2 linked regions of the Saccharomyces cerevisiae S288C genome follow. Each later gene encodes a partner of the first gene's protein in a complex. Each region holds a gene or a part of one and is shown in the gene's direction. Other genes may lie near its edges.

Evidence for each region.
Region 2: the proteins of TSR2 (region 1) and RPS26A are in contact, whole or in part, in an NMR structure (PDB 6G04), measured with the Saccharomyces cerevisiae proteins. Residues at the interface, in NP_013539.4 of Saccharomyces cerevisiae: Ala30 (codon at 1,609), Arg31 (codon at 1,612), Glu33 (codon at 1,618), Leu34 (codon at 1,621), Ser37 (codon at 1,630), Met38 (codon at 1,633), Tyr41 (codon at 1,642), Asp58 (codon at 1,693), Glu61 (codon at 1,702), Lys62 (codon at 1,705), Asp64 (codon at 1,711), Trp65 (codon at 1,714), Thr67 (codon at 1,720), Gly68 (codon at 1,723), Ile69 (codon at 1,726), Asp72 (codon at 1,735), Leu84 (codon at 1,771), Glu87 (codon at 1,780), Thr88 (codon at 1,783), Tyr91 (codon at 1,792), Asp95 (codon at 1,804), Glu96 (codon at 1,807), Glu129 (codon at 1,906), Tyr132 (codon at 1,915), Trp135 (codon at 1,924); in NP_011326.1 of Saccharomyces cerevisiae: Arg100 (codon at 2,175), Pro101 (codon at 2,178), Arg102 (codon at 2,181), Phe103 (codon at 2,184), Asn104 (codon at 2,187), Arg105 (codon at 2,190), Asn107 (codon at 2,196), Lys108 (codon at 2,199), Val109 (codon at 2,202), Ser110 (codon at 2,205), Pro111 (codon at 2,208), Ala112 (codon at 2,211), Ala114 (codon at 2,217), Ala115 (codon at 2,220), Lys117 (codon at 2,226), Ala118 (codon at 2,229), Leu119 (codon at 2,232).

The regions. Positions count from the first base shown.
Region 1 is NC_001144.5:1,004,857-1,007,495, forward strand, and holds TSR2 (Tsr2p), read left to right. Parts: upstream 1-1,521; coding exon 1,522-2,139; downstream 2,140-2,639. Other genes in the region: CNA1 (calcineurin catalytic subunit A), read right to left, coding at 1-1,152; ECM30 (Ecm30p), read right to left, coding at 2,565-2,639. UniProt on the Saccharomyces cerevisiae protein: Required for 20S pre-rRNA processing.
Region 2 is NC_001139.9:132,765-150,465, reverse strand, and holds RPS26A (40S ribosomal protein eS26 RPS26A), read left to right. Parts: upstream 1-1,877; coding exon 1,878-2,237; downstream 2,238-17,701. Other genes in the region: COX4 (cytochrome c oxidase subunit IV), read left to right, coding at 295-762; YGL188C-A (uncharacterized protein), read left to right, coding at 1,502-1,642; protein phosphatase 2A regulatory subunit CDC55, read left to right, coding at 3,077-4,657; COX13 (cytochrome c oxidase subunit VIa), read right to left, coding at 5,269-5,658; IME4 (mRNA (N6-adenosine)-methyltransferase), read right to left, coding at 6,418-8,220; YGL193C (uncharacterized protein), read left to right, coding at 8,239-8,550; histone deacetylase HOS2, read left to right, coding at 8,740-10,098; YGL194C-A (uncharacterized protein), read left to right, coding at 10,505-10,747; GCN1 (Gcn1p), read right to left, coding at 10,923-17,701. UniProt on the Saccharomyces cerevisiae protein: Component of the ribosome, a large ribonucleoprotein complex responsible for the synthesis of proteins in the cell.

The DNA.
Region 1 (2,639 bases):
ATCCATAAAATCAGGCAACCAGTAAGGGTGCGGAGACATGTGAAACTGCCTGATGTTCATGACGTTTTCTTCATATTTTAACACAGCAGCTTTATTATGATATGTGTCCAGGTAGTTTGGCGCACTGAACATGGTTATTAAGCTCGGGAAGCCTGTTACTTTATTGTTTTTATACATTCTGTACCCAGCATCCTGTGCTTCGTGTGCTCTAATAATAGATAACAAACCATTTGCCTTCAAAAACTTGCATGATGCTTTAAAAGTGAAGGCGAAAGAGCAACCCCTCAAACTGTTAGGTACGAATTCATCCTCGCTCTGATCAAATTCGCTACCATCTCTTGCATCATCATAATTTTCGACAGGATCGGCCCATAGTAGGTCACACATGAGACCACGAGATGGGATTTCTCGAAATCTATTAATTTTATTAACATCCTCTACTGATTTTAACTCTGGAGAGATACCACCATGCACACAAAAATATTGTCCGTTCATTAAAGCTGCTAATGGTAAGACATTGAATGATCTGCAGCAAGCATCGTAAACTTCCATATCGTATTTGTGCAACATCTCATTCTTAAAAGTAAAATAAGAGGTCAAGTGCTTACACTCATGGTTACCTCTTAGCATCCAAAATCTCCCTAAATTATTCAACTTCAAGGAGTACAAATAAATCAGACACTCAAAAGAGAATGCACCTCTATCAACATAATCCCCCAAGAATAAATAGTCGATTTCGGCGGGGTCACCGCCAACTTCAAACAGTTTCAATAAATCATAATACTGCCCGTGAATATCACCACATATAGTAATTGGCGCTTTGAGTTTTAGTAGATTGGGTTCTTTACTCAATGCTACAGTTGACATATTTAAGATTTTTATGGCCTGTTCCTTAGAAAGTCGACCCTCATGAAAGAAATGCTCTCTTAAAAAGGAATGATTAGGTAATCCCGTCTTGGAGTCGAATACTTCCTCATCACTTGGTATCTTTCCTGTTATGGCAGGTACAGAAGCGATAGGTCGGTCCTTAGTAGAAATTACTTTACCGTTTTCTAATTCGTATTTTGTTAAATCTTTTTTCCGGTCAACCTTTATGTAAGAGTCATTAGGTTTAATGATTTTGATGCGTGAAGAATTCAAGTCTTTCGACATTGGCGTTGAGAGTGTTTTATGGCAGCTGAGCTAATACGTCAAAAAAAAAAGAATCTAAAAAAACTTTTCTTTGAATAATACCTTTAATAAAGCAAATATTAAAGGCTTTGCTTCGTTCTTTTATAATAATGCCTCTTGATTCAAAAACATTAAAGGATTTATACATTTTTCCCTTTTGTTTCCCAGTAGTACGTTCTTTTTCAGAATTGGAAAATTCATGTTTCAAGAGGCGATGACATGAAAAATTTTGAAATAGATATAGATGAATATCAAAATGATTCAAACAGTTTGTATTTATTGCAACAGGAAGAAAGGTGGAGTCCAAAGAAATCTGCGAAAAATTTTTATAGTGATAATCCTTACGGAACAATGAGCACACAATATATTGATGAGACAGCATTTGTTCAGGCTGAGCAAGGTAAAACCAATCTAATGTTCTCTGACGAAAAGCAACAGGCACGTTTTGAGCTCGGTGTTTCCATGGTTATTTATAAGTGGGATGCGTTGGATGTTGCCGTAGAAAACAGTTGGGGTGGTCCAGACTCAGCTGAGAAGAGAGACTGGATTACAGGGATTGTAGTAGACCTTTTCAAAAATGAAAAAGTTGTTGACGCCGCTTTAATCGAAGAAACGTTACTTTATGCAATGATAGATGAATTTGAAACTAATGTTGAAGACGACTCGGCTTTACCGATTGCCGTGGAGGTCATCAACATATATAACGACTGTTTCAATTTAAATTATAATAAGGTAGAAAAATTGTATTTGGAATGGCAAGAAAAGCAGAGAACTAAAAAATCAAAAAGAGTTGTGCATATTGAGGGTGATGATGATGAAGACGATGAAGATGTAGAGGACTATGATGACGAAGATGAAGATGAAGAGATGGACGAGGTTGTACCTGACTTAGTATCGTCTAAACCTGAACCAATTGTTGACGAAGACGGTTTTGAATTGGTTCAACCAAAAGGAAGAAGAAAGCACTAGTATCTTCAAAATCTGTATATTATAATTGATAGTGCGCTGCTTTTTTGCACTTCCAGTAAGAAATAGCAACAAAATTAGATAAATCTCGGTGGAGTTATCCAAAATATGTAATATATATCAAGAAAGTTACGTATTAAACATTGGACTTCTAGAGGAGATCTTCAATATAGATTTAAAAGGTGGGCAATGCATCGCTACGTGAAGATTTTTACTTTTCTTCAACATGTGTATTTTTTATGTTTCATATTTTTATATTTTGTGTTTGCTAAGGTCTAATCGTTCAGCTAAGTTAAAGCTAAGTATAAGAAGCAAAAAATACTAAATTATACTAAATTATAAATTTTCGTACATAAATAATCATGAGGTAGATGTTTAAATATGTAAATAGTTTCTTTTTTCTTCTTTGTGATTGTCAAAATTTGTGTCTATCTATACAACCCTCTAGAGGTATATCTTAACTGTGTATTATCATCAAATTCGTTATTATTATAATTGTCATT
Region 2 (17,701 bases), on another chromosome or scaffold:
GAAGATATTTAACAGATCGAACGAAACGGAAAAGAACTAAGAGAAAACAAATCTGGATTTGACTTTAAGAAAAAATTTATTTGCAAGTTTAACTCGTTCCCTGCTTTTCTATTTGGCTTGAGACGATAATTGCATAATTGTCCAAATTGTCCATCATATAATGAAGAATTCGATGCGAAATATTCCCTGTCACTTTCCTTTAGTCAACGTATTCTTCTCCCTGAAGAAACAGTATACTAACAATACTCACCCATTTCGATTTTGATGTTGCCATACAAATAGATAACAAGCACAATGCTTTCACTACGTCAATCTATAAGATTTTTCAAGCCAGCCACAAGAACTTTGTGTAGCTCTAGATATCTGCTTCAGCAAAAACCCGTGGTGAAAACTGCCCAAAACTTAGCAGAAGTTAATGGTCCAGAAACTTTGATTGGTCCTGGTGCTAAAGAGGGTACCGTTCCAACAGACCTAGATCAAGAAACTGGTTTAGCTAGGTTAGAATTATTGGGTAAATTAGAGGGTATCGATGTTTTCGACACCAAACCATTAGATTCGTCCAGGAAGGGTACCATGAAAGATCCGATCATCATTGAATCTTATGATGATTATCGTTATGTCGGTTGTACGGGTTCTCCCGCTGGTTCACATACTATTATGTGGTTAAAACCAACTGTTAACGAAGTCGCCAGATGCTGGGAATGTGGTTCTGTTTACAAACTAAACCCTGTTGGTGTTCCAAATGATGACCACCATCACTAATCTTATCATTCAAGTTGCCCTTCTGTTTCTCTTTTACTTTTTACCTTCTTCTTTATTTATATTTTTTTTTTTGGAAACCTAGCGAATATTCTTACCAGGTCTGAGCTTTTACACACGTCATGTTAACAAAGTTCCACAAGAAAGTTCTTTGCAGGAAGGTTAAGGCGAACGCTTTGCTCTATCTATAATGAAGAGCCAAAAAATACATAACCAAAAAGATCGAGAAAAGGTCGAGATATATTTTTATTTAAAAATTCTTATTAATATTAGTACTATTCATGTCATAACTGATTACTATTTCTATCTCTGTCAGAGATGGCTAGCTAGAGGTTGTTGCGAAGTTACTTCCAAAAGATTCTAGACTGTGCTTACAGCATCCATACACCCACCCATACATACTGATTTCTTTTTTTAAAGACGTCGATTTTTCGAAAAAAGTAAATTCTCGGCACAGGGAGTTGAATTGAACTTCCCTGCCCCGACGGTAAGCAGCTTACCGGTATTGCTTCGTTCTCCTTGGGAGATGTTCTCGGCTCTGGAAGGAAAAAACCTTCGTGGGGGGAGGGCTCATATCCAGTAACATAGGCGGAACTCGAAGTGTCAGCTTACACCGCTTCGTTCTCATTGAGTGTTGAGGGATTACTTGGTATTTGAAATACCTACTAGATTTAATGTTCGTTATAGTAAATGATTTAATTTGTTCGCTATTACAGATAAAAGAACCATAGTCTTAAGTAGTATGTTAACGACACAAAAGTGTGAAAGTAGAGAAGGGAAGAACGATGAGATCTTTGAATTGGGAGAAAGTAATAGTGACAAGATATTATTAAAACATGGCAAATGTAACTTGTTTTCTGAAAGGAAACCAGTTAATCACTAGAAGTGTGCCAATCATGAGTTCACACTAACTAAAGAAAAAGAAGGAAGTCGCCCATCGTATGCAATGTACTTATTATTGAAGAATATTGTACCGAGAAAATTTCAAATGTTACGTAAATATCTCCTTCCCTTTTTGCCACGATCATTTTAAAAAAATTGAGAAGTTACTAACTAATTATTTTAACTCTTTGCAAACCTGCAATACTCGTGATGAATATTTAATTAGATCATTCAAAATGCCAAAGAAGAGAGCTTCCAACGGTAGAAACAAGAAAGGTAGAGGTCACGTCAAACCAGTCAGATGTGTCAACTGTTCCAAGTCTATTCCAAAGGATAAGGCTATCAAGAGAATGGCTATCAGAAACATTGTTGAAGCCGCTGCCGTCAGAGATTTGTCCGAAGCTTCTGTCTACCCTGAATACGCTTTGCCAAAGACTTACAACAAGTTACACTACTGTGTTTCTTGTGCTATTCACGCCAGAATTGTCAGAGTCAGATCCAGAGAAGACAGAAAGAACAGAGCTCCACCTCAAAGACCAAGATTCAACAGAGAAAACAAGGTTTCCCCTGCTGATGCCGCCAAGAAGGCTTTATAACTTGATTAATATAGGTGAAACATAAGTAAATTTTTCTACTATTTCTAATCAATAAAAAATAACCATTACAATAGTTTTCTATTAAATATGTTAATGTTTCAAGTATGTTCAACATCAAATATTACTATCGTCACCTTCCACGAATATAATTTGATACGAAGTATAATTTTTTTGATTTTTTTTTCGCCTCCCTTTCTTCCCTTTAATGAGATATTGAAAAAAACTGTCTGAAGTTAATTATTAACTATGAGCGGAATGCTATCTGTATATATTGCATTGGGTTAGACAATAATCGTTTTACTCAGATTTATATCAGATAGGAAAACGACCAGTAACTATTTCTATTCCGGCACGGCATAAACGTTTTTTTTTTGAGACAATTGGCATATACTCCCCCCGCGCACGTCAATAGATCCTTAACTAAGTAGATTTTTTTTGTTTTTTTCCTTCCTTTTTTCTCTTTTCCATCCAATTTTGCCTAACATTTCCCGTCAAAGATAAAGGGAGTTTGCACAAGACAAGACTATTACGTTAGAGAACTTTCCACGAAGAGACTGGAAGAATTGAAAATTGAATATACAAACGCATTCTAGAAGAATTCGATTACGTCAATTAGGCTCTCTTCTATATTTTAGTTCACCCTTTTTTCGTCCTGTTTCGATTTTTATTCCTATCAGAGGGTGAATAAGGCAGCTTAATACGATTACCCCCACTCCACCAACATATTAAGAAAGGGAAAACTAGTGTTTCTATAAACTGTAAACCTCATAAAATCTAGCCAACATATCGAGGTCAAACTGGAGAGATCTTACGCATAAAGAAATATAATATAGCGCACAATGGCACAAAACAATTTTGATTTTAAATTCAGCCAATGTTTTGGTGATAAAGCAGATATTGTGGTGACAGAGGCGGATCTAATTACAGCTGTAGAATTTGACTATACTGGAAATTATCTGGCCACTGGTGATAAAGGTGGCCGTGTGGTACTTTTTGAAAGAAGTAATAGTAGACATTGCGAATATAAGTTTTTAACAGAGTTTCAAAGTCATGACGCAGAATTTGATTATTTAAAATCCTTAGAAATTGAAGAGAAGATAAATGAAATCAAATGGTTACGACCAACTCAAAGATCACACTTTCTTTTGAGCACAAATGATAAAACTATAAAACTTTGGAAAGTTTATGAGAAAAATATAAAATTGGTAAGCCAGAACAACTTAACAGAAGGGGTTACGTTTGCGAAAAAAGGCAAGCCCGATAACCATAACAGTAGAGGAGGCTCCGTGAGGGCTGTATTATCTTTACAATCGCTGAAACTGCCTCAATTATCACAGCATGACAAAATCATTGCTGCCACCCCAAAGCGTATATATAGTAATGCACATACCTATCACATTAATTCGATATCGTTGAATTCTGATCAGGAAACATTTTTAAGTGCTGACGACTTGAGAATCAATTTATGGAATCTGGACATACCAGATCAGAGCTTCAACATCGTAGATATCAAGCCAACCAATATGGAAGAACTTACCGAAGTGATCACAAGCGCTGAATTTCATCCGCAAGAATGTAATTTATTCATGTACTCTTCTTCCAAAGGTACAATAAAGTTGTGTGATATGAGACAAAATTCCCTATGTGACAATAAAACCAAAACATTTGAAGAATATTTGGATCCAATCAATCATAATTTTTTTACAGAAATCACGTCGTCAATTTCCGACATAAAATTTAGTCCAAATGGTAGGTATATTGCATCCAGAGATTATTTAACTGTCAAAATTTGGGACGTAAATATGGATAATAAGCCTTTGAAAACCATAAACATACATGAGCAATTGAAGGAAAGATTGAGTGATACCTATGAAAACGATGCGATTTTCGATAAATTTGAAGTTAATTTTAGTGGTGATAGTTCAAGTGTAATGACTGGTTCTTACAATAACAATTTCATGATCTATCCTAATGTAGTAACTTCTGGTGATAATGATAATGGCATAGTCAAAACTTTTGATGAACACAACGCACCTAATAGCAACAGCAATAAAAATATCCACAACAGCATACAAAATAAAGATTCTAGTAGTAGTGGCAACAGCCACAAGCGTAGGAGTAACGGACGCAACACAGGCATGGTGGGAAGTAGTAATAGCTCTAGAAGCAGTATAGCGGGAGGAGAAGGAGCAAATTCGGAGGACTCGGGAACCGAAATGAATGAAATCGTGTTACAAGCTGACAAAACAGCGTTCAGGAACAAAAGATACGGTTCGCTAGCGCAAAGGTCTGCAAGAAATAAGGATTGGGGTGACGATATTGATTTCAAGAAGAATATTTTACATTTCTCATGGCATCCAAGAGAAAATAGTATTGCTGTTGCAGCAACTAATAATTTATTCATTTTTTCCGCATTATAATTATAATAATTCCTTATTTTCCCTTACTTTTTTTTATCCCATATCTTCCCCACATACTACTACTGTTTTAATTGAAATTTAAATTGAACTTGAATTCAAATTTTTTAGATTTAGATTTGCCCCTCATTGAAAATCTTTCTATCTTTATTTTTTTATTTTATCTTCTCTACTTATATTTTTATTCTACTTCAAGCGTGTTTTATTATCATTATTCTGAGACTTATACCATTTTCTTTCGTTTTTTTTCTGATTAGCTATCTTATAAACACTGTATCAATTATTAATCCGACATCCCTTTATCAGGACTTCTTTCATCACTTCACCAAAACGCGTGGAACATAAAAATAAAACGTCTTAAATTCTTCTTCATAGGTGCATGTTTATGTTTTTAAATGCTTATACATTTGCAATATAATTATATATATATAGATGTTTAAGAACGGAATGATGCTTCGCCGCCCAAAATACCTAGTACCTTTAGTTCCTATCAAAGGATTAATCTTTTTTTATTTTGAATTTTTTTTATCGAATATAAAAGAAATAAGTAAGAATTAGTAAAATTATCATAAATAAAAATTTTTCGAAAAGTTTATTCTCACTTAATCAATTAATTAATCGTCGTGCTCGATGTGCCTGTTGACAACAGGATTCCAGAATAATGTCTTATCACCGTCACCCCAGAAAAAAGGCTTAGACCTGATATTCATAAACTCGTAATCCCTTGGCCATTCGGAGTCTGGCACATGTTTCAAATGTTCACGATGCTCAGCATGCTCCTTTTCAACAAAGTATGTGTTCACAGCTGTTAAAGCAATTGCTGGTAGGGCGACCCAAACTGAGATTTTAACCCACATATTAGATGTGTCCTTCGCATGCTTTTCAGTGGCCATTAATGATTCTTTAAATTTTTGAGCTGCCACTTTATCTGGTGGGCCAAATGCAGGTTTCAAAGCATTTGGGGGTAATGAAGATGCATATCTCTTAGCACACTGTCTAAACATTTTTCTATTGTTTGTTATTTGTATAACTGTAGAACTGTAGTAATATGATTTTAAATCTAGATAAAACACATGCGATGTGTAGTGAAAACGTTCAAGGCAACGTGTATGTTTGTTATATTTAATGTATCCCGTCACTCATCGTGATCACATCCCAGCTGGGGGTTATTTTTCGATTCTCTTAGACCGATACTCCCAGTACCGCCTCTCATTGGTGGGAAAAAAAATTACCCGAAATTACTATATTGTGTCAATACCGCACCATATCACTACATTCATAGCGGTATAATCGAAAGGATAGCGGCGTTGGGTTACTACTATCGTCTACCTATTCAGCAGGATAGCTTACTCTGTATTAGCAAATAATAGTCGTTCTTCGCTATTCCCACAGTTTCCAGTAAGAACGATTGGAGTAGAAAAAAAGAATGGTAGAATGCGCCATGGGAAAGAACCGACCAAGAGTGGGAGCAAATAAGTCAAGTAATTACATTAGTAGTGTTTAATGGTTGAAAATATGGCCAGAACTAGTATTAGCTTTCTCCAGGCGACAACAATTTTTAAACATCCGGGTAATAAATTGTTCCAGTTGATGTAAAAAAATACACGGACTCGGATAATAATTATTGGACATAAACCATATCCTTCTCTATTCCAAAGTTTGTCTAATACAGACCAGGAAACCATTTACTTCCCGCTGCAGTCTTTTTTATGACCATCTTTTTTATGCAATGCTATTAATGTTTAAAAGGATTATTTAACGCTTTACTGAGCAAAATATAGGTTATTTAGTGTTTGGAATTGTTGTTTTTGTTGCTGTTTGGATTCAAAGGGAGTATGTTTTTGATTCATAGGATTCTGCTTGGCCTCAGCATAATACTTACCACTCCCCATATCCATATTATTCCAATACTGCTGCTGATGCTGCTGCTGTAATTTTGAAGGTTGCTTTTTGTCGATTTTTTTAGTACCAGTGTGGCTGGTTCCAGTTTTGCTCTTCATAAACTCCTGGTACTTCCTCTCGACATCCATTTCGTAAATGCAATTTCCTGTCAACTGGTTTCCGATGGTAAACCAGCCAGGCCGCGTATTGTGATCCCTTCCGAATATCTCTAGTTTTCTGGCATGGGTGCCTGCCAACCGTTCTGCTATACCATACAGTTCATCAGGCTTTCTACTAGTCTCTCTGGTCATTGATACGATCAAATCGACGTCAATATGTTTGTTGATCCACTTTGGATTACCCTTTAAGCCCACCAATAAATGCTCCTTAGAATGATTTAACCAATGACCCGTACGACCTGTAACAATTGTTCTACCCAGTTGGTTTGTCTTTATCCATGAAACTTCATTTATCACGTTGTAACCCCAGTTATTCAAAGACTCTTTACCCAATTCTATAGCTCTACCCGTCACCCAAAGAAAAATAATACCTTCATCTTGTAGTTCGTGCAAAGGCAAACCTAATAGTTCAATATCGTTGCAAGTACCGTATGGTAGGTTCATATGGATATTCCATGCAGGATCTGCAATAACTACCGAAAACTTTCCAAGAACCCTAAAATCAAATTTCCGCACATCGCAACGGATCCACTGTGCAGGTAAAGCCTTTTTGATACAATGTGCGGAGCAATTGCCCAGAGTATAAAATGGAATGGAAACGTTTGACCGTATTCTTTTATTTTCACTCGCAGTTTCACGATCAGCTCGCTCTTGCAAGCATGACGGAATATATTGCAGGTAATGAATGTATCGACACGTATTTAATTTATGACAGGTATCCAAATAGGAACAATCTCCTAACGAAATATCAGTTTGTGGTTTGATATTAGGGATAAAGTGAATTTTTGATTGAATGCACTCAATTAATCCTGGGTGATTTTCCTGACATGCGGATATTTTGGACCATTGTAAAGAAACGATTTTGTTATTGACAATGTACACCGAGGTGGACAATAGAGATGCATGCGAATAGTCACTACATATCGGGATGTATTCAATGACCTCGGTCGTGTATTTGGCTCTTTCTTTAGCAAGCTGAAAAGATGATGGTTTTTCCCTCAATAAATTTTGTAAGCGATTGCTCAGTTGTTCACGTGGTAACCCCTGGTTGCTGACGTTAACGTCCCAGTTCAGGACTCCAAGCAGTCTACCCAGCAGTTGGTCTTTTTCCGAATCAGCTTCCGGTTTTGTTGTTAAACTCGACACTTTTTCTTCACATGAAGAACTGGACGATTTTAATGTATAGTAGAAGGCATGGAACTTGTTATAGAGAATTTTCAAGGAAAAAACGTCCAGGTAAACAATTTTTTCTGGCCTATCTGCCACTAATAGATTCTGGTCAAATTGAATGGACTGCGGCGTTGCAAATATAATATCCTGAAGATCATTCCAAAACTGTTCAAACTGTAAGACCTCGTCTTTATCGTTTCTCAACTTCTGCATCTCATCATCGTATCCGCCACTGATGTACAGTGAATACACATCTTTGAGCTGTCCAGAAAGCGGTGCTCTTAGGATGTCATCATAATTCTGGATCAGAAAATGTACTAGTTTATCGTTAATCATAGCCTGCTTACAACTTTTATGAATTCAAGTCTGAATGCCAATTCTTATTTTTTTCGAAAACCCCCAATGCTAACTTATATGGTCCGTTTTCTTTACTGTTATCCATCTCCCTTTCCTATAGCTCCAGCGGTTACCGATCTTCCAGAATGCCGGGGAGATCTTTCTCTTTCTTTGTTTATAACAAGTTTCACAAGCACGAAAGAAAGAACAATACTGTACGCCAAAAGCCGCCTAAAGACGCATATTCCCGTCAATTTATGTGACCGGTACCACTATATACCTAAGGCACCTCTATACCAATGTAGAATGCCCTGTTTATACTCTATATAGAGGATTCTCGATGTTCTTTGGGGCATCGTTAAACGTGATATTCCTACTATGTTACTAAATGTTGAACTGAAAGCATCTTGAAACGATTCTAATCAGTTTTAGGTGTGTCGCCAATGTACAGTTATAGAAAAGACGCCAGATTACTCAAGTACGTTAAAATCAGGTATCAAGTGAATAACAACACGCAACATGTCTGGAACATTTAGTTATGATGTGAAAACAAAGGAGAACGAACCATTATTTGAGTTTAATTCTGCTTATTCTCCCAGGGTATCGTATCATTTTAACTCCAAAGTTTCACATTACCATTATGGTGTTAAGCATCCAATGAAGCCGTTTCGGTTAATGCTAACGGATCACCTAGTTTCCTCTTATGGATTGCACAAGATTATGGACCTTTATGAAACAAGAAGCGCTACCAGAGACGAATTACTACAATTTCACTCGGAAGACTACGTGAATTTTCTCTCGAAGGTTTCACCAGAAAATGCAAACAAACTGCCCAGAGGCACACTTGAAAATTTTAACATTGGAGACGACTGTCCTATTTTTCAAAATTTATATGATTATACAACACTATACACTGGTGCGAGCCTTGACGCCACCAGGAAACTAATCAACAATCAATCGGACATAGCGATAAATTGGTCTGGTGGTCTTCATCATGCAAAAAAGAATAGTCCATCTGGGTTTTGCTATGTAAATGATATTGTGCTTTCTATTTTGAACTTATTACGATATCACCCAAGAATCCTTTATATCGATATCGACTTACATCACGGCGATGGTGTCCAGGAGGCATTTTACACCACAGATAGGGTCTTCACGTTGTCTTTTCATAAATATAATGGCGAATTTTTCCCAGGAACTGGTGATCTGACAGAAATTGGTTGCGACAAAGGAAAACATTTCGCATTAAATGTACCCCTAGAAGATGGCATAGATGACGACTCATATATAAACCTTTTCAAGTCAATTGTAGATCCTCTAATAATGACTTTCAAACCAACACTTATTGTCCAACAATGCGGTGCGGATTCCTTAGGTCATGATCGCTTAGGATGCTTCAATTTAAATATAAAGGCACATGGAGAATGCGTAAAATTTGTCAAATCATTTGGTCTACCAATGCTAGTAGTGGGCGGTGGAGGTTATACACCTAGAAATGTATCACGGCTTTGGACCTACGAGACAGGAATTTTAAATGATGTCTTGCTACCAGAAGACATCCCCGAAGATATCCCATTCCGGGACTCATTCGGGCCGGATTATTCACTTTATCCTATGTTAGATGACTTATACGAAAACAAAAACAGTAAAAAACTACTGGAAGACATTAGAATACGATGTCTAGAAAATATCAGATACTTGCAAGGAGCACCAAGTGTCAGAATGGATGCTGAATGCATACCGACACAAGATATAAGTGCCCTGACAGAAGAAGAGGATAAAATCATTCAAGAAATGAATGAAGAAACAGAAGCAGACAGTTCAAATAGGCTAGAAGAAATGGAAAAAGAAAACAGTGGATTGATTGCCTTTTCATAGTTTAAGAGTTTGCTATTCGGTTAATCTCCCGTTTTTTTTTTTTTTTTTTTTTTTATTTTCCTTTTTTTTTTTTTAATGTTTTTAGCATATTATGTAGAGTGTTAAGGCCTTAAAAGTTATTTGCATCATTGTTAAAAATGACATGTATTGTATAAGAGTTCGGCTCTTCGATGCCGTCAGAAACATTTTTGGAAGGTGCACTCCGTATTCGAGACACTTCTGAAACGGACAAGTCACCAAACTACTCTGAAAACAACAAAAAAAAGCCTTTTCTTATAATTTGAAAGCTTCTCCCGCAGCATTATCGATATCGTGAAACTTCCAAAATCTTTCTTAATTAAACCGGACATCAGTGTCTACAACATTAGAGCAAGTCACTCAGTTCATGTAATACATCTGGACAATTATGTCTAATAAAGAGATAACTTGTATCAAACCGTTTAAAATTATTGCTCTAATTTTATTGATAGTTCTAATAATAAACCTCTCTTATAAGTTATTTCTGAGACGCTATTTAAAGTCGACAGTTATTTGGTGTTTAGGAATCGCCAATACAGATCGTAACGATATGATGTGGTGGCAAGTCTCGCCACTATTAGAGCGCTGGGTTTGGCAGTTAGTTGACAATTATGAATCCGGGTACGAATAATTATCAAGCCCTTATTAGCTACAATGCTGGGAGCAATAGATATATAAATAACCCTTATGCACAGCGGAAGACTTCAAAATATCTTTGTCTTTTATATCATTATGTGGTATGTATTATATAACGAGAATAATATATCAAATACAAAAAGTAACGAGGTTACCACATTGAATTTTCTTCAAATATCAGTGGTTAATTCAACACCTCCGACAGCCCATATTTCTCTTTCATCTTCAAATCTGTCACTAAACATTGTTTCCGCGTCTCCTCCGGCAGCAATCCTTTCTCTTTCGACATTTGCTAACCTTTTACCAACCCTCTTGGTATAGTCCCCAACAGACCGTAATTGAATTGTAGTACCTGTGACAGTTTCGATGCTGTTACCGCGATCTGAAATTTTAGCAAACCACTCGTTGAAAGTATGCATGTCATCTTCTTCAACCAATTTGAACAAAGCTAAATATGCTTTTTCTGCTGCGAGCTTAATTGGGATAACAGGATCACGCAAGCAAGAAAATACAGATGGTCCTACTACATCGAAGTATTGCTTAATGCACTCGTCAAATTTGAATCTGGCTAGTGTTCTTATAACCACCAAGGCCAACCTTCTTACATCCGTAGAATTACTGGCTGGTTGTAAGACAGCTTTGCTCAACTCATTAATTAACAGATTGATGTTTTCATCGCCAATTTTGAATGGTTCTGCAGCATCCTTTTTAACAAATGGAGACCTCTTTTCTCCTTCTAATAAAAGTAATTTACCAGCAGCAATGGTACCATTTTCTCCGAAGTAAACATCAGGGGAACGGATTGCATTCAAAATGTAACTTACAAATTCGTCTATCAAGCCCGTATTGAATATATGTGTTGGTGCATCTTTCAAAAAGGAATTCAAAGTCAGAATAGCAAACTTACCGGTTTCTCCATCTAGATCTGCATTCAAAACCTTGTCTTGCAATATCTTGTGGGCTTCGTCGTTCGACAAAATCTCTGATAACGATCCGATTAATTTAGCGTAAGCAACTGCCAATTTGTCATTGCTACCCAACATTTCTTCCTCAACTAAATTGACAATGTTTGTCTTAGAATTTTCGTTTAATTTGGAACCAGCCTTCATAATAACTTCCAGTAAAGCTTTAAGCATCGCAGTCTTGACACCTTCATCTGTGGCTTGCTTGGCACCTGTCACCAGTTCAATGACTAGAGGGTCAACACGAGGCTGATGTTCAATCAGGGCACCAAGAGCCTTTGCGGCGCGGAGACGTAACGTTTCATTGGTAGCGTCAGACAAGGATTTAACAAATGTTCTTTGTAATTGAGGGATAAAAGGCCTCAAGAACATTGGAATCTTAATGAATAGCACATTAAGTGCAAATAAAATTGCTGCTTTGATATCACTACTAAATCTTTCACCCACGACACGAATTAATGGACCAGTAATTACGCTCACAAATGGCTTCAAGTTAGCGGCAGGGGTCTTCGAAACAACGTCAGCAATGGCTAATGCAGATTCTTCCCTTTCATCATTCGAACCATACATCAAACCATGCAAGAAAATAGGCAAAACACAGTTAGGGCCTCTTGGAAGCTTAAATGCAGCGACATCTTGACCTTGCCTGCCTGTTAATGCCAATGACTGTTTAGCAGGCTTAACTAATTTTTCTAAGGTGGGCTTATCAACCTTCTTCAACAAAGTAGACAAAGCATTGAAGTTACCATTAACAACCCTTTGATCTTCATCATCTAATGATAAAATTGCGTGAGAGACAAAGTTCGGAATATAGACATCAAAATCAAGAACAGTCTTATCGAAGAAATTTGGCAAACGTTCTAAAACAGCTATGCGTTTCTCTATATTATCACTCTTTAGTAGTGACATAATCTGTTGAAGTAATGGGTGAAGACCTTCGTCATCATTCACAGATAAGAATACCCTGTCTAATGCAAGTTCTAATGCACCCTTGGTCGATTCATCTTCAGAAGTACCTATGATTGCATCCACTAGTGCGTTGATTATAATTGATAAACGCTTGTATAAGGCTGAGCCAGCAACTTCCGCCAAAGAACCTAAAGCAGAAGCCCTGAAGGCGTCTATTGGAGGGGCTAATAGGGTTGGAATTAAAATTGGGAAGATTACGTCGGACTTCTTCGACATAATTTCTTGTAAACCTAACAAAGCAAAGTCAGAATTATCAGAAGATTCAAGCATATGCAACAAATATGGTAAAACTTCATCAACAGCAGTTTTTCCTACAACATCTTGGAATACATCAAAAGATAATGCAGCCGCTTCTCTGACAGTAGCCGACTCATCAATTAATGCCGTACGAATAATGTTAACGATGGTAGATTGGAACTGTGATATCGTTTCCGTAGAAGCCGATTCAATTAACTCATAAAGAGCAATACAAACACCTTGTCTCGAATCTGAGTTTGATGTTTCTATCAAAGATTCCTCCAAACTTGGTAACAGTTGGGACAAAGCATTACCACCTACACGACGGACAAGATCACCTAAGGTCTGAGCAGCAATGTTGCGTAATACATTGGATGATGAAGCCAAGTGAGTGACTATCATACCAGTCAATGTTGGAAGGATCTCTTTCACAGCTCTTGGAGTATTTGGAACCAATGCCTTCCAAATGTCAACCGTCGTAGCACGTACGATACCAGAAGTGTCGTTCCTGCATACAAATAATGCGGCTAAAATTCTATCACGACGGTCTTGGCCAAGTACATCGACCAATTTACCAGAGAATTCACCATTATGATCACCATCTTCCTCAGAAAATTCGTTCCTGGAGGAAATACCAGTAACTTGGAACAATAGTTCTCCGGTTAATTGAACAGAAGATAAGCGAATTCTGTCATTTTCATCGAACATACCCCTTTCTAATTCAGGCAACAACAAATCAACGGCCTTTGTAGCGTAGTTTTTGACAATTAATTTACCAGCCTTCAAAGCAGTATCGCGAATATTTTCATCATTATCGGCCAATCCGGAAAGAATAGGCTGAATAATCTGATTAATGTATGGAGCAAATTGTGATCCAAAACAAACAGGAAGGAAAAGCAGCAAAGGCATGAATCCTTCCCTGATATAAGCACGAAAATTGGTTACACCAGCTAAAATGGTTGGTAACATCTCATCCAACTTGGTCAAGCCCAAGCCACTAATAACTTCAGCTAGAGCTTGAGCAGAACCGAGACGATCACCAGATTTTGATTCGTCACTTAAGGTATCTAGTAGACGAGGAATCAAATCTGGGAATTGCTCTTCACCTAACCTTTCTACCAAAGCACCCAAAGCACGTGCTGCTGTGGCTCTAGTATTTGGAACTGGATCCACCATAGCAATCTCCACTTCATCTATCAGCTGTTGTAAATATGGGATGAGATCTTTGGTATCAACCAAAATGGCCATATTGCCCACGATCTTACATGCTTTCCTCTTAATGTTGGCAGATCTATCATGCATACCACGATGAATAATATGAATAATTAGTGCTAGTGAAGGACCATCAATATAATGGACAAATTGTGTTTGAATTAACGAATCCAAGGCCTCTTCAGTGTATTTTGTTGGATCACCGATAGCTTGCAAAAGTACGGGCACCAATTTCTGAATTTCCGGATTTCTGATAACTTCACCGAATCTTTTCAAGGATTCATCAGCGGCCTTACGCACCTCTTTGTGAGAGTCGTTCAATACACCAACAATTTCTGGGACAATGGTGGACAAAGAAGCTGACAATTGAGTAGGATCTAAATAAGCCATATTACCCAACAATTGAACAGAGCCCCTCTTAGTTCTCCAAGCAATTTCATCCAAATTAGAAACAGCAACTGGAATTAACTTTTTAACACCGTAACCTGTAGTATGCGCCATTATAGCCTTAGTGGCACGAGCGGTTGCATCTCTAACTTCAGGAACAGCATCCCCTAAATTCTTTAAAATATTTGGAAGAATTTCTATCACATATGGTTCAAAAAACTTTCCTAGAGATTCAGACAAATATTGAAAGCAGAAGCCAACAGATTCACGTCTTTTTGGCTCCTTTTTATCTTCTGCAGCTTCGATGAGGTTGCGAATAATGTCAAACTCCGAGAGAGCCGAGATACCGTAACCTTTCACTAAACCAGCGATACCCCAAGCGGCACCTTTCCGCATAGAAGAAGCAACAGTTGGATTCAGCAGTTTCTCCATTAGGATACCCAAGTAATCACCAACTTTTTGTTTGAACTGGAAAACTAGTGGTGCTATACAAGCCGACACAGCCTGTTGAATATCCGCAGAAGGAGTATCCAAAGTTGAAAGCAATCTTTCAATGATCGTGTGAATCCTTGCATCACTTTGCTGTAAATGTCTTGCTAATGTACCATACAAAATAATAACGTTCTCTTTTAAGGCACTGTCCGTACTGGAGCTTAATGCTTCTTCAAATATAGGAATTAAATCCTTCGAGTTTTGTGAGCCATGTAACGTAATTAATTCAACACCAGCTTCTTTCATTTCTTGACGAACAATAGGCTCTCTGTCTACTAGACCTCCATCATCGACCAAAAATTTTATAATGTTAACGACAGTATCATCCTCTGCAGAAAAAGCCTTAGCCATGATTTTTAATGTAATAGCAACGGTACTTCTTCCTTGCCATGGATCTTTTTGTTCACTCGCAGAAACAAGAACCAAGCCAAATTGATCAAGAATTGGCTCCAATGGCTTTGCCTTTTCTTTATAAAAGTTCAGCAAATCATTTAAGTAATCTTTCGAGGAGTTCTCTTCAGAGGTAAACAGACTTACCGCACCAAATGCGTACGCGTTTGCCGCAAATAATCTCAAGCCACTATCATCCTGATTGAATAGTGGGAATAAGCTTTTTAGTAATTCATCGTTGACTACAAATTTGTTGAACTCCCAAATGAAATCTGCAATCTCGCGGTTGGAAGGATCCGAATCAAATCTGCAAATGAAAACTTCAGGTGAATATTTCATAAAAGGTTCTAATTCGAATTCGTTATCAAGAGTTTCTAATATTGTTGAACGGACAAATTGATTTGGTGATAGTAAATTTGATAGTATCATATCAAGGTCTTCTTGATTTGGTGCAACAGATATGCTTTGGCACAGAGCGTTGAAACAATCTTTAGCAATCTTCGCTTTTGAGGGTAAAGATAGAAGAGATAGTAACACTTCAACAATGGAAATTCTCGGAATGGAAGGATCCTCAAAAGCTTCAGCGTGTACAGAAATAATTTCCATGGCCAGTAACAGATGTTCTTCTTCTTCATCTTCTTCAACAAACTCAGCCTTAACAACAGGCTTGTCCGCATTCTTTAATGCAATCGCCTTACCCTTTTCTAAAACATTAATCAACAATGGTAAAATATATGTCAAACTGATGGAATCTATTGCTGCTTGGTTGGAGACGAACTTGATCCTAAAAAGAACTCTTGTAAGTAATTCAACCAGTGGTTCTTGTAAATAATCTTGCGAGATGCCATTAGCATTGTGCACACGCAAAGTCGCCAAACCTAAGAAAAGTCTGATATTACCTAATCTCTCGGAGACATTTTGAGAAAGCTGCAAGAACACATTATTTACATCCTCTGTTAGCTTTGAAATATTTGGTTCCGAGCATAGGTACAAAAGCTTTGTGACTGCCAAGGGGAACCAAGTAGCGATGCCATTTTGGACTAAGCAAGCAGCTTTGGAAAGTTCAGATACCAATCTAATACCACGCTTTAAACGAGTGGAAATTTCCGAAACGTGTGATCTAACTGCAGATTCTTTCGCTAACTGTTCATTAACGAGCTCTTGTTCCTCTTTTGAAAGTTTTTTCACATTCTTTTTGGCTTGCTCCTTCCTTATTTTTTGTTCCCACATTAGAGTTTCGTACTCTTTAGAATTTTTATTGGAAAGTTTCTTATTCATGCTTTCTTCCAGGACGTCAACCACCAGAACACCTTCCTCTCCTGCAAAAATTTCGAAGTCCTCTTCAGATAAACGTGAGAAATCATCCGCGGTTAAATCTGCTTCGATAGTCTTACAAAGGATCGGTGTGAACTCATTAGGCTGAATAAATGCTGCATAGGCAGCTGCTTGCAAACCGCATGCACCATAAATTGTATCTATCCATTCACAACTACCTGTGATTTCAAGAATCTTCTCCATGATAACGCTAGCATGTTCTTTGACAACTTCAGCTGGATCAAGCCTTGCACGTAAAACTAAACCAGCCCAGCCATTCTTAATGTTGAAAATATTCCATTGCGCTATGACCAGAGCATTGATTAATACCTTTATCGAGGCTTCCTTGTCAGGTAACTCAGACGTAATGGCCAGTAGTACAGAAGTGACATATTTAAAGGATGTATTTTGTTGAGGTATTAATTCTTGGACACGCATTCTCCTTTCAATTGCATCAATCACGCTAAACCCAATAAATTCGGGTTTCTTGTAGAACAATTCTTGTAGTAAATTAACAGCATGAATACGGTTTTCGATGGATAGCTCTGTTGATAATGCAGCAGTTAAGATAGCATCACCTATCGAAGAATTTTCAGGAAGGGTTTCTATGAGCTGCATAACACGATCATTTAGCTCAGTATTGTCCAATGCCAAAATTTTGTTTGTAAATTCAATTGATGCTAGAATACATGCATGCCCGTGAGTCTGATAATGTATGATGGAGTCTTTCACAAATTCCAAACAACCGTCTATAAAGTTTAAAATCACCTCTTCAGAGGCAGCATTGGAATTGTTCAAAAATGCGGCAAACCAGCATTTTTTCAAAGCAGGTTTTTTATCTGCAAAACCAGCTGATATAATTTTATCCAAGTCTTCAATAGGTTTGCCCAGACTAAAATAATGAACAAAAAAAGCGTTAAGCATTAGAGTCAAGGCTGCTTCATTACCTTCTTTACCAATATATGGGGACAGCCCTTTGCAGATTT